Linked DNA regions of Macaca fascicularis. The protein of the gene in region 6 interacts with the protein of the main gene of each other region in a pairwise test. Links are inferred from orthologs where the notes say so. Each region holds a gene or a part of one and is shown on either strand. Other genes may lie near its edges. The genes, in order: RHEBL1, CDX4, PYGM, GRN, UBXN11, PRKAB2 and MAGED1.

What was found.
Region 1: the proteins of PRKAB2 (region 6) and RHEBL1 interact in binary tests that used the Homo sapiens proteins (3 or more experiments, as listed by UniProt). The link is inferred for Macaca fascicularis from reciprocal best matches to the Homo sapiens genes PRKAB2 and RHEBL1.
Region 2: the proteins of PRKAB2 (region 6) and CDX4 interact in binary tests that used the Homo sapiens proteins (3 or more experiments, as listed by UniProt). The link is inferred for Macaca fascicularis from reciprocal best matches to the Homo sapiens genes PRKAB2 and CDX4.
Region 3: the proteins of PRKAB2 (region 6) and PYGM interact in binary tests that used the Homo sapiens proteins (3 or more experiments, as listed by UniProt). The link is inferred for Macaca fascicularis from reciprocal best matches to the Homo sapiens genes PRKAB2 and PYGM.
Region 4: the proteins of PRKAB2 (region 6) and GRN interact in binary tests that used the Homo sapiens proteins (3 or more experiments, as listed by UniProt). The link is inferred for Macaca fascicularis from reciprocal best matches to the Homo sapiens genes PRKAB2 and GRN.
Region 5: the proteins of PRKAB2 (region 6) and UBXN11 interact in binary tests that used the Homo sapiens proteins (3 or more experiments, as listed by UniProt). The link is inferred for Macaca fascicularis from reciprocal best matches to the Homo sapiens genes PRKAB2 and UBXN11.
Region 7: the proteins of PRKAB2 (region 6) and MAGED1 interact in binary tests that used the Homo sapiens proteins (3 or more experiments, as listed by UniProt). The link is inferred for Macaca fascicularis from reciprocal best matches to the Homo sapiens genes PRKAB2 and MAGED1.

Annotation. Positions count from the first base shown.
Region 1 is NC_088385.1:55,881,794-55,884,849, forward strand, and holds the end of RHEBL1 (GTPase RhebL1), read right to left. Parts: intron 2,840-3,056; coding exon of another isoform or gene 2,772-2,839; intron 2,507-2,771; coding exon 2,424-2,506; intron 2,338-2,423; coding exon 2,281-2,337; intron 2,096-2,280; coding exon 2,048-2,095; intron 1,253-2,047; coding exon 1,171-1,252; intron 1,017-1,170; coding exon 927-1,016; 3' UTR 501-926; downstream 1-500.
Region 2 is NC_088395.1:80,248,307-80,251,249, reverse strand, and holds the end of CDX4 (homeobox protein CDX-4), read right to left. Parts: intron 2,204-2,943; coding exon 2,058-2,203; intron 1,615-2,057; coding exon of another isoform or gene 1,554-1,614; intron 1,293-1,553; coding exon 1,086-1,292; 3' UTR 501-1,085; downstream 1-500.
Region 3 is NC_088388.1:9,632,221-9,636,313, reverse strand, and holds the start of PYGM (glycogen phosphorylase, muscle form), read right to left. Parts: upstream 2,801-4,093; 5' UTR 2,725-2,800; coding exon 2,482-2,724; intron 1,461-2,481; coding exon 1,359-1,460; intron 1,272-1,358; coding exon 1,193-1,271; intron 1,106-1,192; coding exon 1,002-1,105; intron 661-1,001; coding exon 529-660; intron 1-528. UniProt on the Homo sapiens protein: Allosteric enzyme that catalyzes the rate-limiting step in glycogen catabolism, the phosphorolytic cleavage of glycogen to produce glucose-1-phosphate, and plays a central role in maintaining cellular and organismal glucose homeostasis.
Region 4 is NC_088390.1:65,406,518-65,410,545, reverse strand, and holds the start of GRN (progranulin), read right to left. Parts: upstream 2,801-4,028; 5' UTR 2,768-2,800; exon of another isoform or gene 2,360-2,767; intron 1-2,359. UniProt on the Homo sapiens protein: Secreted protein that acts as a key regulator of lysosomal function and as a growth factor involved in inflammation, wound healing and cell proliferation. Regulates protein trafficking to lysosomes, and also the activity of lysosomal enzymes.
Region 5 is NC_088375.1:208,855,670-208,859,169, forward strand, and holds part of UBXN11 (UBX domain-containing protein 11), read left to right. Parts: intron 1-2,082; coding exon 2,083-2,297; intron 2,298-2,573; coding exon 2,574-2,651; intron 2,652-3,500. UniProt on the Homo sapiens protein: May be involved in the reorganization of actin cytoskeleton mediated by RND1, RND2 and RND3. Promotes RHOA activation mediated by GNA12 and GNA13.
Region 6 is NC_088375.1:113,066,662-113,070,161, reverse strand, and holds part of PRKAB2 (5'-AMP-activated protein kinase subunit beta-2), read right to left. Parts: intron 1,304-3,500; coding exon 1,137-1,303; intron 322-1,136; coding exon 228-321; intron 3-227; coding exon 1-2. UniProt on the Homo sapiens protein: Non-catalytic subunit of AMP-activated protein kinase (AMPK), an energy sensor protein kinase that plays a key role in regulating cellular energy metabolism.
Region 7 is NC_088395.1:51,968,158-51,971,496, reverse strand, and holds the end of MAGED1 (melanoma-associated antigen D1), read right to left. Parts: intron 2,676-3,339; coding exon 2,561-2,675; intron 1,302-2,560; coding exon 924-1,301; 3' UTR 916-923; intron 710-915; 3' UTR 501-709; downstream 1-500. UniProt on the Homo sapiens protein: Involved in the apoptotic response after nerve growth factor (NGF) binding in neuronal cells. Inhibits cell cycle progression, and facilitates NGFR-mediated apoptosis. May act as a regulator of the function of DLX family members.

The DNA.
Region 1 (3,056 bases), on a different chromosome or scaffold from region 6:
GGGAGTGGCAGCCAACTGGACTCAGTATATGAGGAACCCAGCAGAATAGAAAGGTAGGAAAGGCAAGTTAGGATAATGGTCGTTAATAAGTGAGGAATAAGGAATAGGAACAAGGTAGGAGGAAAGATTTCCCACCAAAGACCACAGCCATGACTCCTTGGAAAAAGAGATACTGGCTCTGAGCTCTCCCTAGATACACAGATGTCAACAATAAGGCCGGGAGTAGTGGTTCACGCCTATAATCCCAGCACTTTGGGAGGCTGAGGCGGACGGATCACTTAAGGTCAGGAGTTCGAGACCATCCTGGCCAACATGGTGAAACCCCATCTCTACTAAAAATAGCCAGGCGTGGTGGCGGGTGCCTGTGGGAGACTGAGGCAGGAGAACTGCTTGAACCTGGCAGGCGGAGGTTGCAGCAAGCTGAGATCGCAGCACTGTACCGCTCCAGCCTGGGCAACAGAGTGAAACTCCGTCTCACACACACACAGGAAAAAGAAATCAACAACAAAAGATTTCTCAGTTTATTTGCATATATACATTGTCACCCCAGGGAGCCAGCTCTGTTTCAGAAGTCCCTGGCTCCCCTTACCCAGCCAACACCCAAAACTCACCCAAGAGGATGGGTCCTGGATAAATAATGCCCAGGACTCATATCCTGACCCCACAGGTTATAACAGAATTCATCTAGCAAAAACAGAGGGCTAGAGGCCAGTGTCCATGAGAGGTCCTTGCCCCTTTGTAAACATTGACATCCAGGCCACTAGAGCCTGGGGAAAGTGTGCAAACATGAGGATGCCACACTGTGTGTCCAGGGGTCAGGAACACAGCTGGCAACCATACCCGTGAAGTCCTGAGGGTCTGACCCCCCACTGGAACATGGCAAGTGCCAGAGGCAGAAACAAGGCAGTTACACCACACCCAAGGGCTCACATGAGATGGCAGCGACGCTCTTGCCCATAGGAATTCTCCACACGGGCAATCTCCTGGATGACTTTGGTGAAGATGCCTTGAGTCAGCTATAAGGGGAGAGGATTCAGGGCAAAAGTCAGTTCAGTGCCAATACCACCCAGCTCTGGGGTGAAAGCTCCATTCCTGCAACATTCCCACCAAGCAGTACAATAAGGAAAACACGGCTACCACCACCACCCTTCTAGTCTTCGGGCCGAGCACCTGATTCTCTCGAGCAGATGACTCCATAAATGTCGCACCCCAGGACTCTGCCAGCTTCTTCCCTTCAACTGCCTGTACCTCTCTGGAAGCAAATTTGGGACATAAAGATGGAGGATAGAAATGTTGGTAAGTGCTCTGAAAAATCTTCAGAATCAAGGCTTCCTGGCCAGGCTTAGTGGCTCATGCCTGTAATGCAGCACTTTGGGAGGCCGAGGTGGTGGATCACTTGAGCTCAGGAGTTCAAGACCAGCCTTGGCAACACAGTGAAATACCATCTCTATTAAAAAGAAAATGGGCTGTGCGCAGTGGCTCATGCCTGTAATCCCAACACTTTGGGAGGCCTAGGCGGCTGGATCACAAGGTCAGGAGATCAAGACCATCCTGGCTAACATAGTGAAACCCCGTCTCTACTAAAAATACAAAAAATTAGCCGGGCGTGGTGGCATGCGCCTGTAGTCCCAGCTACTCAGGAAGCTGAGGCAGGAGAATCGCTTGAACCCAGGTGGCAGAGGTTGCAGTGAGCCGAGATCACGCCACTGCACTCTAGTCTGGGCAACAGAACAAGACTTCATCTCAAAAAAAAAGAAGGAAGAAAAAGACTTCCTCTGACCCACGCCATTTCCCCAAGTTTTGGGAGGAGGGCTGTGGAAAGAGAAAATATAGGTAAACAAAGGAACAATGGGTGAATCTAGGACTGAGGCTTGAAATATGAAATTGTGGCTTTTAAGATAGAAGTATTATCTTCCTTAAGCTTCAGGTTAGAGACAAAGAGAGGTGAAATGACTTGTTTGAGTCAGTGGCAGAGCCAGGATGAGAGCCTGACTGATTCCAAGTCCATTTCACTTCCTTTTCCTCTAAGTAGCAGAGATTTACATACCTCTCTGGAGAGAGATCTGCCTTGTTCCCAACTAGAACCACTGGCACCCTGTGAGGAAACAGCAGTTATTTCAGAATCCCCTCATTCCCCAACTCCTTATATCAAGGCTGGACGACTCCTTATCAGACCAGGCAGGATCTATATCCGAGCCTCTCTAACTTGACAATTCTCCCCTCTGCTCTCTCCTACTCCCTCATGCCCACACTATGTCCCTATCCCCCAAGGCCACTTACCGGGTTTTCCCATGGCCTTCGTGTAGCTTTTGGTACAGACTCTCAATGACCTGGAAGCTTTAAACACAAGAATTGGAGCTATAACTTTATGAGACAGTCCTCAGGTTTTCCTAAGTCCCACACTCACAACCTTGGTCACTTACCTATGTAGAGAGGTGACAGAATACACAAGCACATAACCATGGACTCCAATGATGAATGAATAGGGCAGAATGCTGTACTCATCCTGTCAAGAAATGGAAACATCAGTACCTAGATCCAAACCACTCAGATGGCAAAGGTTGGTGGGACAACATCCAGGTGACCCTCCCTGGGGCACGCCCTACTATAGTCACTTCAACAAGTATTTATGGAGCAGCTCCAATGAGCCCTGCATACTCTTAACAGGTAAAATGCTTTTAATACTACTTTACAGATGAGCCACAAAGACTACCAGACTTCATCTCTGAGGGCTGAACTGCCACTTTTGGATACCATACCCCAACTGGTACCTGCCCTGCTGTGTCCACCAGGTGTAGGTGAAACTCATCTTTGCCAAGAGTCACTATCTTGCTGTAAGCTGAAAAGAAAAGAAAACTTGACTGTGAGGTGCCTTATAGGGCCAGCAATGTATGTCCCCTGACTTTTTTTTTTTTTTTTTTGAGACAGAGTCTCACTCTATTGCCCAAGCTGGAGTGCAGTGGCTCGATCTCAGCTCACTGCAACCTCTGCCACCTGGGTTCAAGCGATTCTCCTGCCTCAGCCTCCCGAGTAGCTGGGATTATAGGCGCCTGCCA
Region 2 (2,943 bases), on a different chromosome or scaffold from region 6:
TGTACCCTGATGGCTTTTACGCTTTAATCAAGCTTTCCTTTAAACCATCTCAATTCAAAAGGACTTGCAGCCTAGTCTTTGTCCACTTCAATATGCAAACAGTATGCTGGACCCACACTAAAAGCTCTTGGCAGCCTGGATCACTGCAACCCCTTTTCTTAGTCAAGCTGTGTGTTTTTAATCTGTAAACTGCAGCTTCTTGGATTATAAACCAGTAAACTACATTGACATGACATGATGTGGGTAAAACTGAATAGGTTGAAAGGTGATGGCACATACGGGATACATATCAGTTCACTGTCTTGTGCTTACACAAGTCTTACTGGAATGGGAATGGAGAGATAAAAGAGGGGGTAGAGTTTATTCTATGAGTTGGAGATGTGCCTTACTCAACCAAGCTGGCCTCTTTTGTTTTAGTCTGGGTTCATTGTTTTGACAAGATTTTAAAATGACACTGCAGGTTGAAAGTTCTGAGATAATTGATGCCAGACAAGTATGACTGAGGGCCAAAATTGTCTATTTTATTGGTTGTTCTTGTTAAGTAGTGACAATGGAATCAGAATCACCTTCTGATGATTTTTAAAACATTTATCTTGTTATAAAAATTATGTTAGCTTTTGAATTAAACACTTAGAAAGGTAGCTAACGATAGATAAACTTTGGTTTACTTTCTTTTCACTCCTTAAAGATAGCATAAAAGAAAACACCTAGCATCAAATAACAAACAAAAGTACACATACACAAATGTGCTTTCTGGCAAAATTGTATTTTACAGTCTATTCATAAGCAAGTTTCTGAAATTGTGAACAGACTTGGAAGGGCCTGTGATTCTAGCTTTTAATTATATAGCTTACTACTAAGCTTCCTGAGTGACTGACATATAGCACAGCACATGACAGGAGTTTTCTGGGGATAGTTTCTAAAAGTAAGAGTCCTCTAAATTATCTTCAACCCATTGTACATCCATCTGTTCCAAATACTGCCTTACAGGGAATTACACCCTGCTCCAACTCCCCTGCAGATAGCTTAGAGACCCAAAAGGCACCACTAAAAACAGAGCACTTTAAATTTCTCTTTGCTTTCTTTCATTCAGAGACTATAACCTGCTGTATCTCAATAGGCTGAAATCCACGAACAGCAGATGGTGTGGTGAAAAAAGTGTTAGGCAGTTCCCCAGGGCTGATGGAGCCAGAGTCACTTTGCACCGAGCCTCCACTATTCTCAAACTGGGAGAATTTCTTTTTGATCATCTTTCTCTCCTTGGCTCTGCGATTCTGAAACCAGATTTTCACCTGAAACACAATGAAGCAACATACTGAATGCAGTTAACTTAGTGATTTCTGATATTGTACACAGACTTTAGCATTTACAAAGCCCCTTCATATGCATCACTTCATTTGAGCCTCACAATGACCTTGTGAAATATGCCCACTTAACAGGTTAGAAAAAAAGCTTGAGACTTAGAGAGGGCAAGTACTTTGCATGAGATGAAACTGAGATCCAAGTCTAGGGCTACTAACTCTGAATGCAATAATCTTAATATTATACCTTACCCGCCTCCTCTGTTGCACAGGTGGAAATAAATAACGCTGGAATGATAGATGCTGAGGAGTGCTGATAAGAGAGAGATATTTAAATAGCAAAGGTAATTATAATCAGCCATTTCTATGTTTTATTAATATTTCACTAAAAAGTCCTATTAGTAAAATATTAATAAAATAAAATAAAATAGAAAATTTATCTTCCTATCAGTAATAGTATACTATTAATAGTATAGGAAGGAAGTTTTTCTTCCTATTAGTATACTATTACTAATAGGAAATTTGTCTTCCTGTTAGTAAAGTATTAATGAAACATATAAATGAGTGAACAAGGGTGATGAAATATTATATATCTCTTGCTGGAGATAGACAAGAGCAATATCAATGTGCATTCACACGTGGTCGAAATGCAAGCTACTTGGGATAAGGCAATGCATCAAGGGAGTTTACAATTCTAGAATTCTGATTCTATTGAAATTGACTATATGGGACATGTTTGATATACTTCTGGTGTACCTGTCTCTCAGAAAGGCCCAGGTTAACTGCCAGCTCTGATTTTCTCCGGATGGTGATATATGTGTTGCAATGGAATTCCTTTTCCAACTCCAATCTTTGATGATCAGTGTAAACTACACGATACTTTTCTTTTGTCCTGGTTTTACCTGTTAGGAGAGAAAGCATTGCATTTAATCATTTTCTGCTTCTTGGAGATTGTTTTAGTTAAAGAAATCATAGACACTCTTCCCACCCTCATCTTTACTTTACAATATAAAATAAATATATTTTTGAATCAAATATTCATAAAAGTCCATTTCTCCATTAAATACATTCTCATCTGTGGCTATGATAGCAATATCTCAGTCTACCATCTATAGACATAGACATATATCTATATATCTATATCTCTCTTTATACATAAAATCAATATCTCTTTAATTAATGTTTCTCCTAAAATGATTGGTCAAATCACAATCATCCCATCTTGACCTATTTTTATAGCAGAGCATTGAAAATGCTTAAACACTTTAACCCATGGTGTTTATTACCTTCCCACTTACATATGTGATTAGCATTGGCAGTAATAGTAATGCCATTATACAGGTACTTCCCATTACATTTTATGCAGTCTTTCCATACTGTTCCTGTTAAACCTCTTACCTACCTTCTTGAATTGTGCAGAACATGTCTTATCTCCATTTTACAGATAAGAACATGAAACTCAGGGTAAATGACTTTGTGTTAGAGAATTGAGGAGTGGGGACCCAAGCATATATCTTTGACTCCTATTTAAGCATGCTAACTAAATGTTATTCCAAGTTCAAATATGCTGGGATGCATAATAATGGCCCAAGAGTGGAAAACACTTGTGGGATCCTGACACTATAGCTACATAGTTTCCTAG
Region 3 (4,093 bases), on a different chromosome or scaffold from region 6:
GTCTCTCTATGTTGCCCAGGCTGGTCTTGAAATCCTGAACTCAAGCCATCCTATTGCCTCGGCCTCCTAAAGTGCTGGGATTACGGGCATGAGTCACCGTGTCCAGATTTGGTTTGGTTTCAGGATTCCTCTAACTTGCTGTGTGGTGAGTGAATTCCTTTCAGAAGGTCCCAGTTTTCTCCTGTCCCCGTTTCTGGGCTGCTGCTATCGAGATGTTCAGGGCAGACTCAAGTCGTAAGATGGTCCTTTGATAAATCTCATGGTGTGTGGTGGAGCCAGGTCATGGGGAGACACTGGGGGAGCAGGGCAGCCTCTCTCCCCTTCCAGGCTCAGTACTTAGACTGGCTCCCCTGTGTCCCTGTATCCAGTCTTTCCTGGCTTCAGCTGTGTGACTTTGAGTAAGTCACTTAACCTCTCTGAGTCTCAGCATCCTCAGTTATAAAATACACTGGGTCCTGCTTCCTCTCTGGGCTTCCTTCTCTTCCCTCCCCTTCTCTGAGCTCCCCTGACCCCCAGCTTCATCCTTACCTGTGTGTCCACCCACTTGGCACCCTGGCTGGTGTGCTCCACATGGCCGTAGAAGTGCACAGGTAGTGTGAACTCGGGGCGGGCCTTCTCCCAGGGGTTGCCGTAGCGAAGCCAGTCATCAGCCTCCTCCATCTGCACCCAAGGCAGGTCAGGGAGAAAGGCCGGCAGCATCAGCGCAGGCATTCACACCACAGTGCACGGTGGGGCAGGGCGGGGGCTGTGGGCCCGTGTACCCCACACCAAGTGTAAGTTAGGGGCTCTGAGGTGGGCCCCTGGTCTACTGGGCTATCCAGTGGGACATAGACCACCTGTTTCAGGGGCACCAGCTGGCTTTGGGTTGGGGGGTGGGGAGCAGCAGGGATGCGTTCCACAGAGCTTGGGGGGCTGTTTCGGACCTATTCAGAGATAATAAACAAGTGGGGGTCTTCCCCATCCTGACTAGACCCCACAAGGTTAGAGCCAAGGCTGCTCACCTGCCAGCCCCCGGAGATCTTCTGGTTAAAAATCCCAAACTCATAGCGAATCCCGTAGCCATAAGCGGCCAGGCCCAGTGTTGCCATGGAGTCGAGAAAGCAGGCTGGGGGTGTGCAGGGAGGCAGGTGTCAGGGACCCAGCACGGAGGACCCCATCGGCCCCCTCCACCCTCAAGGCCCTGTCCACTTACCTGCCAGCCGGCCCAGGCCCCCATTGCCCAGCCCCGCATCCTCCTCAATTTCCTCCAGCTCCTCCATGTCCAGGCCCAGCTGGAGGGGTGAGGGTGACAGTGGTCAGGGTCAAGTGTTAGCAGGGGAATCCCCCAGTCCCCATGGCTTGCCCCACCCCACACATACCTGGTAGGTGGCCTCGTCACAGGCATTCTCTAAGGCCAGGTTCACCATGGTGTTCTGTAGCGTCCGTCCCATGTAGAATTCCAAAGACAGGTAGTAGATCCTCTACCCAGAGAGACGGACGGGCAGGGGATGGGGTCAGGGCCACACACCAACACTCAGCCAGACCCAGCCACACCTGGACCTCTGGGCCGCCTGCCCTGCTCAGCAGTCCCATCCCTGTCCCCAGTTTGCTTCTCCCTGTCTCAGGCTTTGGGGCCCAACGGGTAAGGTTCTGGTCCCAGCATTCCTCTGACTTTGGACAAATCACTCTCTTTGGCCTGTTTCCTTATCTGGGAAATGGCGCTGGCCATACCCACTTCAGGGACTGAGGCGCTCGGGAGAGTGGGAACCCCTTCCCCCTGCACACACGCCCCCGCACTGCCCAGCAGGGCGCCAGGACACACGGAAGCGCCTCCAAGAGCTCCCCAGGAGGGCAAGGCCAAGGCCCAGAGAAAAAGGTCATTTGCTCAAGGTCACACAGTGGCTAGAGACTGGGCTAGAGACTGTCACCTCCCATCCTTGCACTGCCCAGTTCCCCTTGGCCCTCAAGCCTCAATCCCAAGGAGACCCAGAGGCACCAGAAACTAGGATGCTGCCAGTGCCTGGTCTCCTGGTTGCCTGGGTCCCCTCCCGGGCCCCGTCTGCCTGCTCCTCCCCCACTCCCCACTGAGGGGTGTCAGGTTGCTGACATTTACCAGTGACCCCACCGGACACTTGATCTCTGCACCCGAGCTGCCCCAGCCCCTCCTGCTGCACAGGCACACCACGCATACATGCAGCAACTGACATGTCCTTCCACCTGGGCCCAGCCAGGCCACAGGTGCCATCCTGCCCACCAGCACCCCCTCCAACCTTCTCCGAGTGGGCACTTTTGCAGCCAGACCACCTGCTCTGAGCTCCCTGACCCCCACCCCCGCCCCAGGTTTCTCCCTCAGATTGTCCCAGCACCACTTGTGCCTGGCACCCCTGGATTCTCCAACCCCAAGAACCTAGAGTGACGAGGGGCAGCCACTTAAATCAAGATCCCCAGCTCCCTGGCAGTGCCTCCATCCCATACCCCCACCCCAGGTGTCCCCAGCAGCACCTTGGGGTCCTTCTCGTAGTAGTGTTGCTGCGTGCGGATCCAGCGCCCCACGAGGTGGTCGCGCACGGTATGGGCCAGCGCAAAGTAGTAGTCTCGTGGGGTGGCCACATTGCGGTCCTTTACGAGTGTGAAATGCAGGTGCCGGTTGAAGTTCTTTTTCAGCTCAGTCACATTCTCCACGCCGGCCAGGCCACGCACACTGATTTGCTTTCTTTTCTCCTGGTCTGACAGGGGCCGGGACATGGCTGCAGGAGGGTGGGCCGGATTGGACTGATGGTGGAGGAGACGGCAGCCTCAGCACTGCCTCCAGCCAGGGAGTAGAGCTCCCCAGGCTCAAGGGGATTTAAAGCCTGGCTCTGGGCAGCACGTCCCGCCTCCCCTGCAATGGGAGGGTCTTGGCCTGGCAGCTCAGGGAGCTATTTTGAGGGTAAAGGAAGGAGAGGGGAGGGGAGGGAGAGGTGAGCTCCACTTGGGCCTCCAAGACTGGCCTGGCTTGTTCACAGGCCTGTGCTGACCCACTTCCTCCAGGCCTTGCACACGGGTCTTCTGTCCCTTGTCCCTGCCTTTTGCAGGGTTGGATACAAGAAAGATCAGGCAAGAGTGCTGGATTGGGGAGCTGTCTGCCAGTGGCTAAACCAGGATGGGAGGCCATGTGTTGTGGTAAAAGGAACCAGGACCCCCTGCAGGCTGCGGTGCAGGAGGCAAGTCAGTGTCCCCTTACGGAAGAGGTGCAACTAGCAGAATGTCTTCAAGACAGGGGGCCCTTCGAGAAAGGGGGCCCACAACCCTGGTGGTGTGAGGGAGGTTGTGTGAGGCAGGGCCACCGCCCTCACTCCACCCCCACTGAAACTGAGCAGCTCTGGGCTCCCCCTGTTGCTGTCCCTCAAGGAGCTCTGAAGTGACCTTTTGGAGAGGGATGCTCAGGTTACAGGCCAGCATTGGCGGGAGGCTGCTAGCCTGCAGCACAGGGCCCTGGGAACTGTAGTCCTGTAGGCCCTTGGGGGTGGGAGAAACTGAGGCATTCCCCACCCCGTCATCATACTGGTTGATGACAGTAAGTTCTCCCTGTGATTCCACTGCTTAGGAAGTGATTGGAGGCCTTCTCTCACTCCTTCCTGCCACTTGGGGCCACACCCTGGGCAGGGATTTTGTGAACCAGCTCTGTGACCTGGCACCCTATAAAATGGGTGCCTAATCTGTACCTCGGGGACCTCACCCCATTCATGAGCATAGCCTCACAGCTTCGGGCCCTTCCCTGGAGGCTTTGACTATCCTCCCATTCCACGCTTTGTCCTGGCCCCAGCACTGACTTGCTGTGTGACCTCAAGTTTGTTGCTTTACCTTTCCGAGCTTTGGATTCCTTCATCAAATTTAGAGTCTCCAATGAGAAAAATAAATTCCTTCCTCTCAGCTGCTGCCTCATCTTGTGAGGGCAGGCTTTGGATCCTGCTGTTCTTTAAGCGAAAGGAACCAGGACCTTGTGCTAGTTCAAAGGCTGTCTGGGCCTCCCGGGTGGTGGGCCAGTGGACGGGAAGAGCTGGGTTTCTGTTCTGAGGGCAGGCAGCAGGTCAAAAGCCTGGACAGCTGCAGGATACTATTGAGAGCCTGGTTC
Region 4 (4,028 bases), on a different chromosome or scaffold from region 6:
TTTGTTTGTTTGTTTGAGACGGACTCTCCCTGTCTCCCAGGCTGGAGTGCAGTGGTGCTATCTCAGCTCACTGCAAGCTCCACCTCCTGGGTTCACGCCATTCTCCTGCCTCAGCCTCCTGAGTAGCTGGGACTACAGGCGCCTGCCAGCACGCTCGGCTAATTTTTTGTATTTTAGTAGAGACGGGGTTTCACTGTGTTAGCCAGGATGGTCTCGATCTCCTGACCTCGTGATCCACCCACCTCGGCCTCCCAGAGTGCTGGGATTACAGGCGTGAGCCACCACGCCCAGCCACTTTTACTTTCAAAGGAAGAAACTGAAGCTCAGAGATGTTAAGTACAGTCAGCCCTCCGTATCCAACCAGAGATCAAAAAATATTGGGTGTGGTGGCTCACACCTCTAATCCCAGCACTTTGGGAGGCCTAAGTGGGCGGATCACGAGGTCAGGAGTTCGAGACCAGCCTGACCAACATGGTGAAACCCCCATCTCTACTAAAAATACAAAAATTAGCCATGCGTGGTAGTGCACACCTGTAATCCCAGCTACTCAAGAGGCTGAGGCAGGAAAACGCTTGAGCCCAGGAGGTGGGGGTTGCAGTGAGTGGAGGAGATCGTGCCACCATACTCCAGCCTGGGTGATAGAGCGAGACTGAGATTCCGTCTCACAAAACAAAACAAAAACCCCAGAAAATGTTACATTGTTGCTGAGGTATACTATGTAGTTAGGCTTAGGATGGGTGCATCTATACTGAACATGTACAGATTGTTCTTTCTTATTATTCCCTAAACAATTCAGGATCACAACTATTTACATGGCATTTCTTTTTCTTTTCTTTTTTTAAATTTATTTATTATTATTATACTTTAAGTTGTAGGGTACATGTGCATAACGTGCAGGTTTGTTATATATGTATACTTGTGCCATGTTGGTGTGCTGCACTCTTTTTCTTTTCTTTTCTTTTCTTTTTTTTTTTGAGACGGAGTCTTGCTCTGACGCCCAGGCTGTAGTACAGTGGCGCAATCTCAGCTCACTGCAACCTCTGCCTCCCGGGTTCAAGCAATTCTCCTGCCTCAGCTTCCTGAGCAGCCTCCTGAGTCTGCTACCACACCTGGCTAATTTTTGTATTTTTAGTAGAGATAGGGGTTTCACCATGTTGGCCAGGCTGCCAGTCTCGAACTCCTGACCTCAGGTGATCCACCCACCACAGTCTCCCAAAGTGTGGGGATTACAGGCATGAGCCACCGTGCCCAGCCAACATGGCATTTCCATTGTATTAGGCATAAGTAATCTAGAAATGATTTAAAGTATGTATAGGTTATATGCAAATATCACACCATTTTGTATCAAGGACTTGAGCACCCAGACTTTGGGGTCCTGGAACCAGTTCCATGAAGATACCAAGGGACACCGATAACATGTCACACATCAGGTCATGGTGACGACAGGCTTTGATGGCCCCAGAGCGTATTGGACCTGGGTTAATATCACTAGTGGCACAATGGGCAGTGCCTGAGAATGGACCCCTACGCCCCAGGGGGATAGGTGCAACAGGTACCACAGAAACAGGGACTGCCTGGAAATCGCACTTGAGTCCTAATCCTGGAATTGCCAACTGTGAGGGCCTGAGAAGTTGCTCCCTGTCTGTGCCTCAGTTCCCCCACGAGTCTTGTGTGGATATCATTGGAGGGGGGAAGGGCAGGAAATGTCACCCACCCAGTCACTCACATCCTCTCTGCTCCAATTGGCTTTCCTCAAGTGCCCCTCCCCTAACTCAGCATCCCGAAGAGGCCACCTCCTGGACAGATAAGGATGCAGTTGACTGGTCCTGGACAGTGGACCCTCTCCTCAGCCCCACAGCTCCCAGGCAAAGCACCTGCAGCTGGCACCGCCTACTTCCTGCGTGTTCTCAGCAGGCTGTCCGCTGCCCTGGCTTGCTGGGAAGGGGAGTCTGTCTGCACAGGAGTGTTCAGCTCTCTGGTGAGTTACCTGTGCATGGCCCCTCCTGTTTACCCTGAGTTGAGGGAGTATAGTGTATGCTTCTACTGAATACATGCACACACATACAGAAACAGGGATGAGGAGGCGAGTCGCAGTCTCTCACGCCACCCTACACCGCCAAAACAGCCAGAGGGGACAGCAGCCTCTTCAAGACCCTAGCTCCGTTATCTTCCACTAGGTGGCAGCCCCCAACTCCGAGTGCCAAGGGGAGAGGAAATTCCCAAAAGGGGAGCCAGCCTAGCTGCAACTGAGCAGGAAAAAGTGGCTGGGAGAGGCGGAAGTTAGCTCGTCCCACCCCCAAAAAGAGGAAGTAAGGAGGAGCCAGACCAGGTTCAGTCACCACTCCCAAGTCCCTACTACCTTCGAGAAGCCAAGGTTTCAGGTCCCGTTCCCAGGCCCTCGGAGCTCCCAGCCCAGGGTCGCGCGCCCCTCCGGCTTCAGGCCGCCGCGGGAACCACCCACCACCACCACGAGAGGGAAAGAAGCCGGCACCTACCGACAGGGGTGGAGCTGAGTCAAGAATGGTGTGGTCCCTGCTTTGGGGGAATGCTGGGGAGGTAGAAAGCCCCCTTCTAACAGAGGTCACTGCAGTTACTGCTTCCTCTTTCCCATAAAACTCCCTCTAGTGTATCAGAACCCCCAAGGAGTTTCAATAAGCGGTTCTTGTCTTGTCTCCGGCTGAGACTCCCGGGGAACCTCAAGCTCACATGGCCCTAGCCGGGCCCCTGGGCAGGAGCAGGCCAGAGGTCTGCGCGGCCGCCCTCCTACCTGCGTCCGGGTCCGCGGTCCCTGGGCAGCAGCAACCGGGCAGCGCTCAGACTACAGATCCCAGCGCGGTGACCCGCCTACCTCAGTTTCCATTGGCCAGGGATCAGGGCTGCCGCACTCCCATTGGCTACTTATCAATGTGGAGGTGGGGCCAGCCTGGAATGCTGTGTTTCTTTTCTACTCAAATCACTCTCCTCCCCGCTTCCTCTCGCCCTACACCCCATTTCTAGGGATCATGTGATTGGAAAATCATGTGACGCCGGGCCAGCCTCAGCAGGGCAGCTGGTGCTCGTCGCCTTCCTTCACCCATCCTGCAGGTGCCTGGGGGAGTTTGCTAGAGATGATAGCGCGTGTCTGGGGCATTGACAGTGCGAGGGACTGTTATGAATTGGGAATATTTGTGCTCCTCTTTCTATTCTTTTGTTTGTTTGTTTGTTTTGAGATGGAGTCTCACTCTGTCGCCAAGCTGGAGTGCAGTGGCACGATCTCGGCTCACTGCAACCTCTGCCTCCCGGGTTCAAGCGATTCTCCTGCCTCAGTCTCCCGAATAGTTGGGACTACAGGCGCGCGCCACCAAGTCCAGCTAATTTTTGTATTTTTAGTAGAGACGGGGTTTCACCATGTTGGCCAGGATGGTCTTGATCTCTTGACCTCGTGATCCGCCCGCCTCGGCCTCCCAAAGCGCTGGGATTACAGGCCTAAGCCACCGCACCCGACCTTGTGTGTTTGTTTTAGAGAAAGGGTCTCGCTCGGTCGCCCAAGCTGATCATAGCTCACTGCGGCCTGCAACTCCTGCTCCCAAAGCGATTCTCCTACCGCAGGCCCCCGAGGAACTGGGATTACAGGTGTGAGCTACCGGGCTCACTCGCTCCTATCCTATCCTATCCTGCCCTGTCCTGTCCTGCTCTATTCTGCAAACTCGGATGACATGCTAGGCAGGGCCCAGAGTGAGTTGAAGGATGGTTTCCAGGACAAAGATAAACAGCCCAAAAGCCCTTTCCTCCAGGTGCTCAGCAGGACAGGGGGCAGGGATTGGTGGGAGACAGTCTCAGGCTGAATCTAATTTAATATACAAGGTCGTGCGCCAGTTGCCAGGTGTGGGAGAGGAAGTAGATTGTCTACAGGTGGGGAAGAAGATATTTCATTCCACCTTAGAAGCATCTCCTTGAGCTGAGTTTGGGAAGATTTTAACTGGCAGGTGGAGGAGGTGGTGTTGGGAAGAGCCTTGGGAAACCAGATGGGAAGGGCAGGCTTGGCAGGG
Region 5 (3,500 bases), about 96 Mb from region 6:
TCACAAGGCCCTGCTGTGGTAGCTCTTCCTGTCTCATTCTGTCAGTGCTGGTTTGCCCAGAGCTGTAGTTCCTTCTTCCTGGCCCCTGGTCTTCTCTCCACTCTGTGCTATCCAGCATCTGACTAGCCCACCTGCTTTTACTTCTTTAAGCCAGGGCTGTTTTCTTGGCAAGCTTCTCTCTTCCCTTTTGTCGTTTCTCGGCATCCTCCCTGGTCTGGCCCCATCCCATGTCGACCACCCATGTTCATCAGCCTGAAAAACCCCTGGCCCTGGGAGGTGACAGGAACACTGAATTAGGAGTTGGTGTATTTGGTGCTCTTCCTGGCTCTGTCTGGTCTGATCAGGCCATGTCATCTGACCTTTCTGGGCCTCACTTTCCCCATCTATAAAGAAGACAGAGCCCTGGCAACACAGCGAGACCCCGTCTCTTAAATTTTTTTTTTTTTTTAATTAGCAGAGTGTGGTGATGCTGCCTGTGGTCCCAGCTACTTGGGAGGCCGAGGTGGGAGGATCAGTTGAACCTGGAAGGTCGCGGTTGCAGTGAGTCATCACCGTGCCGCTGCACTCCAGCTTGGGTGACAGAGGGAGACCCTGTCTCAGAAAAAAAAAAAAAAAAAAAGAGGGTTGAGGCAGGCATTGTATGAGATTACCTATTCTGCTATTGTTTTTAGGTTTGCCTATTTGTATTTAAAGTAGTTGTTAAAATCATGTCTTGGTATCATTCTGTTAGGTGAGTTTTTCCAGGGCATCTCAGGGACTGTGGGGGAACCCCAGGAGGAGGTGGGGGCAGGTATAGCCCCTTCAGGGGTAGGAAGTGTAGGGGAGAGGAGAAGGCCAGCTGGGGCCTACCATTTCACCTGCTGCAAAAGCAACAGGAAGCACATCTGCACCTCCCTGGTACAGCCACTGCACCACTGAGAGGAAAGGAATTGGGTCCCCAGAGCCCTGACCCACATCCTGCCGCAGCCTGCCTGTCCTGTGAAAAACAGCCTCTCCGAGGCCCCGAAAGTTACTGGTGTGTTGTAGGGCACACCCGAACAGATGACTTACTTGGGGACCAGGTCCCATCAAAGATGACAGAACAGGCCCCTGGTCTGTCCCCAGCCAGCGTCTACCTGTCCTCCACTTTTCTGCTCTGTTATCCGTCATGGCTGGCCCCACCACTCCATATTCTCCCCCGAAGCCAGTGCACAGCTGTATGTGCCACACATTTTTCAGAAGAGGAGGACAGAGCTTTGTCAGCTTCTCAAAGGGGTCTGTGACCCAGAAATAGTTGCACAACCTACGGTCTGTTCCATATCTGTTCTGGCCAGCAGCTGTCCCTACATCCTCCCTAAGAGCCGTCTGTCCCTCTTCTGACCTCCCTCTCCTGAGATGGGTGGGGGAAACAGACTTGAGAGGCAGCCCCGACTCCCTTCCCAGTTCCTCCTCTCACCAATTGGCTTGGGACAAGTCATTTTTCATCTCAGTGGGCCTGTTTCCTCATGTGTAAAATGGAGCTAAATAACCCCTGCATCAGCCTGGCGTGGTGGCTCATGCCTGTAATCCCAGCACTGTGGGAGGCTGAGGCGGGCTGATCACCTGAGGTCAGGAGTTCCAGACCAGCCTGACCAATATGATGAAACCCCATCTCTACTAAAAATACAAAAATTAGCCGGGTGTGGTGGCATGCACATGTAATCCCAGCTACTTGGGAGGCTGAGACAGGAGAATCACTTGAACCCAGGAGGGGAGGTTGCGGTGATCCAAGATTGTGCCATTGCACTCCAGTCTGGGCAACAAGAGTGAAACTCTCTCAAATAAATAAAAATACCCCTGCCTCAAGCCTCAGGGTTGGCATAAGGACCATGTGTGCAAGGTGGAGTTGGGCACAGTAGCAAACATGGACAGGGTACGTGTTCCAAGCTGGCTCTTAGGAAGATAGCTGCTGTTACTATCTAGTGTTGTCCTTCCTTTTCCCCAGGGAGTCAGTTGAGGAGACACTAAGACCACTGCCCAGCCTGGGAGGGAGCCACAGAGACTAGGGCTGCTAGGGACACGGCAGCCAGGAGGCGGCTCATAGGTGTCTGTCCTCTTTGCCAGGGGACTCATTGGCACCCCCTGAGGTGGACTTTGACAGGCTGCTGGCCAGCCTGCAGGATCTTAGTGAGCTGGTGGTAGAGGGTGACACCCAGGTGACACCAGTGCCCGGCGGGGCACGGCTGCGTACCCTTGAGCCCATCCCACTGAAGCTCTACCGGAATGGCATCATGATGTTCGACGGGCCCTTCCAACCCTTCTACGATCCCTCCACACAGGTAGGAGCGGTGTTGGGGGGTTGGTGTTCTAATGCCCCTGCTGCCCACTGTTAGTTGGGGATGATGGAGTCAGTTCACCCCAGGTCCAGCCTGCCCTCCATGGGGCACCCAGGCCCACACACGACTTGCAGATGCCCCTTCCCCAAGGCCTGGGACTCAGCTTCCAGAGTGCAGCACTGGGTGACCCTGGATCTAGGGCCTGCCATCCAGACTAGTGGCAGGGCAGGGTGGGTCCAAGGCCCAGGCCACCCGCTCACTTTTCCTCTCCCCTTGCAGCGCTGCCTCCGAGACATATTGGATGGCTTCTTTCCCTCAGAGCTCCAGCGACTGTACCCCAATGGGGTCCCCTTTAAGGTGATGAGCTGCTCCTCAAACCACACCTTTGGGGATTTTGGAGGCTGTGAGGATACACAGCCTCCCCAGGCACCTCCCATTCTGAGGGAAAGCCACTGTGCCCCCTGGGGGACCCCAGTTTGATGCCCTCCAGGAGGATAAGCCTGAAGCTGGGCTGGGAAGGGAGCAGGGAGGACCGAAACAGAGCAGCAGGCAGCGCCCTCTGCTGGCACCCTGGAGACAGCCTCGGCTGCAGGGCCACTGCCTCCCAGTCCTCCCCAACTTTCAGGACACCTTGACAACCTGGGGTCCCTGCAGAAGTGACCCGGCTATCCCCCAAGTCTCCTGAAGCTATCTGGGTAGGGTGGGAGGCAGTGCTGTGAGCCACATGCAAAACAGAGGGGACAGATGTTGGGACTCAAGGACATAAGGTAGAGCTGGCCCATGGGTAGGTGCCACCACCGGAGCCCGTGAGGCTGCGTGTTCCAGAGGGTGGTGGGTTAGTGCCGCACTGAGGGCGTGTCAGGGAGGCAGCATGTGTCACCAGGGCTCAGGAAACAGCATGAGTCATGACTGGGGGTGTTTAAGGCATTTGTGCCACAATGGGGGCCTCGGAGCCTTGATGAGGCAAGTGAGGTTCCATGTACGATGATGCAGTTTGTGCTGCAGACTGGAAAAAAGCAGGGGCTTCGTCCTCTCCTGACCCCCTCACACTCTGCCTTCATGGTAGGCTCCTGAGAGGGGGTCTCCAAGGAGGGTGTCAGTACTGCAGCTTCAGCTGGCCTGGATGGGGTGCTTGCAGGAGCAGCAGGGCTGAGGAAGATGACAGCAGTATGAACTGTGGCTCTCCTGAGGCCTGGTTTTCCTCAT
Region 6 (3,500 bases):
GGCTGAAACAGTGAATACAAAAAATTATTGAATCTTTCAAATCTCTCTCTCCCATCCAACCTTCCTTTTTTACTAAAATTTACACATGATTGTACTCAGCACCTCCACATTTTATCAAGAGAGAAATCCTCCAGTGTAGAGGGGCAGTTGCCCATCAGTCTTGACAGAAATGACAGCTAAAATGAGACTGCTAAGTCAATGGTTACCCTTGGAGATCAAGGCCTTACCTCTGATGGATCATGAACCCACTGTCCATCCACAAAGAACTTGTATTGGTGCTCTCCCTCAGGGAGGTCCAGGATGGCAACAAAGTCATTATGGCTACAGAAGAAAAAAGAAAGGCAGACAGGCCAAGTTTCTTTTAGAAGACTGAATGTAAAAAACAAATGGCAATCATAGTATCATATGAATAACTTCCCAGATTCCTAAGCCTTGTATCCCTGGTGTAAAAAACAACATATAAACCCATTCTCCTTTTCTGTATCATCTTGGACATGTATTTACCAGCTCCTCCCAACAACGTTAGTTCTTAACCAATATCTGGAAAAGAATAATAAAAACATTAATCCCCTCAAATGGTTCACCTAGTATAACTATTTTGCTTCAGTAGAACAAGTTCCTCAGCAGTGCAAATGAGATAGGTAGGTTCAGGATACAGAAGTGCCTCAAGGTACTTTGTTTTGGTGAACCTTTTCTGGAAAATGAACTACCATACAAAGGCTCATTCTGACAACCAGTTAAATCATTCATTATTGCTTTGGAAGCAACGAATAACATGACTACCTAGAACTTCAAAATATGTTTTGCTTTAGTGCGGAAGTCAGAGCAACAAGACTCAGCCAGTTACAGAAGACTTCCCACAAGCAGAGACAGGACTTGTATGACACAGTCCTAAAGAATGTAGTCACAAAGCTATTATGAATCCCTCTGAGGCAATGAAATTCTAAGGGATAAAAGACCTCTGACTCACTATGAGGTTAAAAAAAATCCCACAGATATACTAAGTGGCCACAGAGATATGTTCTAGAGAGAGTCCTTAGCAGGTGGAGAAAAGTAGTCCAGCTGGGTCTCTCTTCTGAGAAAAGAAATCAGGTCTCTATTCCTGGACCCTTAGATTCAACCAAGATACTTGTCACCTCTTAATCAGTGGAATCTTGGTGCTCCAATTGTTGAAGGACCCAGAGATGAAGACCTCCTTGCCTCCTTCAGACCAGCGGATAACAGTGGGCCGGGCCTGCTGTGTGGGCTTTACGGAGTCCTCCAAATCCTGCTGCCATGATACAAACTCTTTGTCCCCAGGGAGCTGTAAGAAGGAGTAGGTCATCCCTAGAATAAACTGTGACCCAAGAATTCTAAAAAGGTCACTCTCCTTCCTAGAGTAGAGAAGGGTGCTAGGCTTTGGCTAAGGATATAAACCCCAAAATTAGCAACTAAATCAGAGTTTGAACAAATTATAGAAAAAGAACTCATCTAGGACCAAAAATGGTCAAATGGCCTATGCTCAAGCACTGCCTAAATCACAGCTTAACTTTTGAGTCTACCTATATCACTCACCCTTTCACAGCCTTAGACTCTCCCTTTAAAAAAAAAAAGAAAAAAAACTAACTCCCTACCACTAGTTTAACTCATAGGCAGGCAATTATGATATGCTTCTGAGTCTTTCTTATTTTTTATTTTTTTTATTTTTTATTTTTTGAGACAGAGTCTTGCTCTGTCACCCAGGCTGGAGTGCAGTGGCGTGATCTCAGCTCACTGCAAGCTCCACCTCCCGGGTTCACGCCATTCTCAGGCCTCAGCCTCCCGAGTAGCTGGGACTACAGGCACCCGCCACCACGCCTGGCTAATTTTTTTGTATTTTTTAGTAGAGACGGGGTTTCACCGTGTTAGCCAGGATGGTCTCGATCTCCTGACCTCGTGACCAGCCCACCTTGGCCTCCCTAAGTGCTGAGATTACAGGTGTGAGCCACCGTGCCCAGCCTGTTACTGAGTCTTTTTTTTTTTTTGAGACGGAGTCTCGCTGTGTCTCCCAGGCTGGAGTGCAGTGGCGTGATCTCGGCTCACTGCAAGCTCCGCCTCCCGGGTTCACGCCATTCTCCCGCCTCAGCCTCCCAAGTAGCTGGAACTACAGGCGCCCGCCACCTCGCCCGGCTAGTTTTTTGTATTTTTAGTAGAGACGGGGTTTCACCATGTTAGCCAGGATAGTCTCGATCTCCTGACCTCCTGATCCACCCGCCTCGGCCTCCCAAAGTGCTGGGATTACAGGCTTGAGCCACTGCGCCCGGCCGAGTCTTTTTTAAGAGAGAGAAAAAAAATGAAAACAAAGTATGGTTCTGTAAAAAATAATTAAGTCAGCCATATACTTTTATAGGCAAATATGAATAGTTCTCAATTACCAGTTGTAATGGAAGTTAGAGATATCAAAATTCTAGTTTATAAGTAATTCATAAACTCTATTTCAGCTAACAAGTTACAAAAAGAAGAAACATTAAAAATTCAAAAACCAGATCACTGATTTCTTAAAACTTGAGAAGTGGCTATGAAATCTTACTTACTCCCCTATCCCAGGTTTACACTAATTATTTCAGGAGTAGGAATAAAAATTCTAGAACCTCAAGGAGCAAGAGATCAAAAAAACAATTTCCTTTGTCAAAAGTAGCTCTCTTATTAAATGAGGTTTGTGGGATTGTAAAAACAGTAACTCCAGTTTCTTTTCATTACTATCCTTTGGACCAAGAGTTGGCAGCCAGCCAGTGAGCTAGATGCTTTTATCAAGTTTTATTTGAAAATAGCTCTGCCCGTTTGTTTACCTATTATTTTATTTACTGATTGACTGAGAAAGGACCTTGCTCTATCACCCAGGCTGGAATGCAGTGAGTGGTGTGATCATAGCTCACTGCAGCCTTGAACTCCTGGGCTCAAGCCATCTTCCCACCTCAGTTTCCAGAGAAGCTGAGACTAGAGGTATGAACCAAAATACCTGCCTTGCTTACCTATATTGCCTATAGTTGCTTACATGCTAGAGTGGCAGAATTGTGTAGCTATAGCAGAGACTGTATGGTCTACAAAGTCTAAACTGTTTACTATCTGGCCCTTTACAGAAAGATTGCTGACCCCTGTTTTAGACTGGTTTAAGTGACTTTGGTGAAGAAGACTGTATAGTATTAAGCCTAAGTATTACTAAATAGAATAATGTGGGGTTTTTCTTTTTCTTTTTCTTTTTTTTAAAGGACTAGCTTATTCATATGGGCTTTCTTTTCAAAATGGTTGACATAGTTTCCCCTCCATACATTCTCTTGATATTCCTCAAAACTACAGTATAAGACATCAGCAGCAGGATAATCCAAAGTAAATAGAGAAAGAGAATTGAAAGGACTTTCACATAAGGAATTGACTTCAGAGAAAACTACATATTATCAGAACGATGCACCCTTGCCTAACTGGCTGCGTTAGAATCAAGAATTTGACATATGCCTAAGAATAACCCTCAGATTCTGATATGA
Region 7 (3,339 bases), on a different chromosome or scaffold from region 6:
TCTCTGCTCCTACTCCTGCTGCCCTCCTGGAGTTATTTCACTTTCCACATGGGTTGTATAACCAACACCCTAGAATCACAGGCCATGGACCCCTTATCTCCAGAATAGTCACCTTCTGTCCCTTTCAACTACCTACTCTCTGGACTTTATCATCACCTGGAGTTCCACCTCCGCTGTGTTCTTAAGTGCAACTGTCTGAGCACCTATACCCTCTCTCACTATGCAATTCTCGCAATGTCACTCCAGGACACCTAGCAGCATATCTGTCACATGAGAATCACTTAAGTGATATTTATTGAATAAACTATACAAGTTCTTGGGTCTCGTGTTCATTGATACTGCCTTTGTATCCCAATCCAGTAGCTGGATCTTCCCATATTTCCACCTGCTGAAAGCTGATCTACCCCCTTCAAACTAGAGCCGAGGTCCTGTCTCTCCCACATAAACATGTTGCTCGCTCCCCAAATATAGGGAAAAAAAGAAGCAGAGAGCACATCTAATTCACTTTGCAATTTCAATGTTTATTTCTGATACCAAAACTTGACAGCACACAAGGGGAAAAAAAGCAGTAGACAAGGAACAGCAAATAAATTTATCTTGCATGCCACTTTCAGTCAACACGATGTGGCTCTCTAGATAGCTGTGTTTAGAAGGAATCTGAGGCTTCAGCCTCACACAGGGGAAAGACTATTGCGATTGATAGCAATATCTGTGAACATAAGAAAAAAAAGTAAAAAAATCAATGATATATATCAAATAATAAGGAATATACACACCAAAGAGTGCTGCCCCATACTTTCCTCACCTCCCTACAATGAGTTTCCTAAGACTCCTAGCTCATGCACATAAATACAATCCCATGGACCCTATATCCCCCAGAGACCCTAACTGCCCAATCCAAAGTGATGTACCTACCCAACATCTCACTCAACCCAGAAGAAACCAATGGCACCAAAGTTGGCAGCAAAGTTGGCACCGGCTGTACCACCAGGACCAATAATGGGACCAGCAAAGGTCTGAGGAAATCTGGAGCGGGCGTTCTGGTGGTATCTGGCCCAGAAGGTAAATGGAATTCTGGACCAGGGATCTCCAAAATCTCCTTCCTCATCCCAGGTCAGCAGCTCAAACTCAATATCATCCCAGCTCCAGGGCCCAGACACAGCCTCATCTCCAATTCCCATGCGGGTTCTTGCTTCAGCCCGGGCTTCGGCCTCAGCTGCAGCAGCATCCAGAGCATCCAAGGCCTCATCTGCAGCCTCCATGAACTGTGCAGTCCAGTCACGAGGGTCTCTTTTCTGAACCTGAGATGAGGAATAGAAAACAAAACAAAATCTATTTACAATAGCCAAGATACGGAATCAACCTACGTGTCCATCAATGGATGAATGGATAAGGAAAATGTGATACACACACACACAGTGGAATACTATTCAGCCTTTAAAAAGAAGGAAATTCTGCCATTTGCAACAACATGGATGATGCTGGATGACATTATGCTAAGTGAAGTAAGTCAGACACAGAAAGACAAATACTGCATGACTTCACTTATACATGGAATCTAAAAAGGTCTAACTCATAGAAACAGAGAGTAGAATGATAGTTTCCAGGGCCTGGGGTCAGGAGGGATGGGGAAATATTGGTTAAAAGGTACAAAATTTCAGTTAGATAGGAAGAGTATGTTCTGGAGATTGACCATATAGCATGATGACTATAGTTAATAATAATATGTTGTTTATTTAAAATTGCTAAAAGAGTACATTTTAAATGTTCTCATCACAAAAAAAAAATGTCAAGTATATGAAGCTACGGAGAGTTAACTAGCTTGATATAATCATTCCGCAATGTACATGACATGTATTATCAAAACATCATACTGTGCCCCATAAATATATATACTTTTTATTAGTCAATTAAAAATAAATGAATGTGCTGGGTACAGTGGTTCACGCCTGTAATCCCAACACTTCGGGAGGCTGAGGCAGGCAGATCACTTGAGGTCAGGAGATCGAGACCAGCCTGGCTAACATGGCGAAACCCTGTCTCTAATAGAAAAATAAAAATTTAGCCAGGCATGGTGGTGGCACGTGCCTGTAATCCCAGATACTTGGGAGGCTGAGGCACAAGAATCGCTTGAACCCGGGAGGCAGAGGTTTCAGTGAGCCAAAATCGCGCCACTGCACTCTAGCCTGGGCAACACAGCAAAACTCCATCTCAGGAGAAAATAAATAAATAAAACAAAACAAAATACTTAAAAATTACATTGTACACCATAAATATATACAATTTTTGTCAATTATACTTTAGTAAAGTTGGGAAAAAATAAAAATACTTTAAAAACCTAAAAAAAAAAAAAACCAAAACAAACTCATAATTGTATTAGCTAATATATTAACATATGTTAGCACCTAATGCATGTTAAGTTTACCTAACAACAACAACAAATACCACCAGCAATGCAGCACCTATCACGTGCCATACCTAGGATCTCATTCCTACCCTGGACCTTTCCCAGCCAGCGATACTTCATCCCTTGACCTATCAATGCTGGTTGGCACATTACCTCTGCAATGAATCTCAGCACTTTCATCTTGCTAGTCTCATGGTAGGAACGGAGGCCCCAGAGGAACTCATACTCTGGGGGGTTGCTGTTGGGCACTCGTCTGTAGTCCAGGTATCTGAAAGAGCAAAACAGTCTTTGTGTCTACCTACCCGGGCAGAATGGTAGTCCAGTAATGAAAAATAATCCTACATTTTTTAACATCAGATTTCAAATAGCAACTCCCCCTCGGGCTCATTCCTGAACACCATCAGGGTATTTACCCCTTAATCATCAAGCCTTGAATTCCTGCACCAGAACACTAAGCACTCACTTAGAGCTGCAGGCGACGTTTGTATAGGGTCACAGAAAGGACAACATTTCATTTCACTCCTTCTGCCTCAGCTCTAGCTCCAGATTTTTGTAATCTTGTCAGTGAGCCACAGAGGTCCATTGAAATGATTACAATGTAGTGCAAAAGTGTCAGCCTGGCCCAGCCTTGGGAATGTCTACTGTGGGGATGGTGGATGGGCTTCACTTGCAAGACAACTACTTAGAAAAGTAGAAAAATTAGAAGAATTCTGGCTGGACATGATGGCTCACACCTGTAATCCCAGCACTTTGGGAGGCAGAGGTGGGTGAATTGCTTGAGGTCAGGAGTTTGAGACCAGCCTGGCCAACATGGTGAAGTCCCATCTCTACTAAAAATACAAAAACAGCCGGGCATGGTGGCAGGCACCTGAAGTCCCAGTTACTCAGGAGGCTGAGGCACAAGAATTGCTTGAACCTAGGAGGTGGAAGTT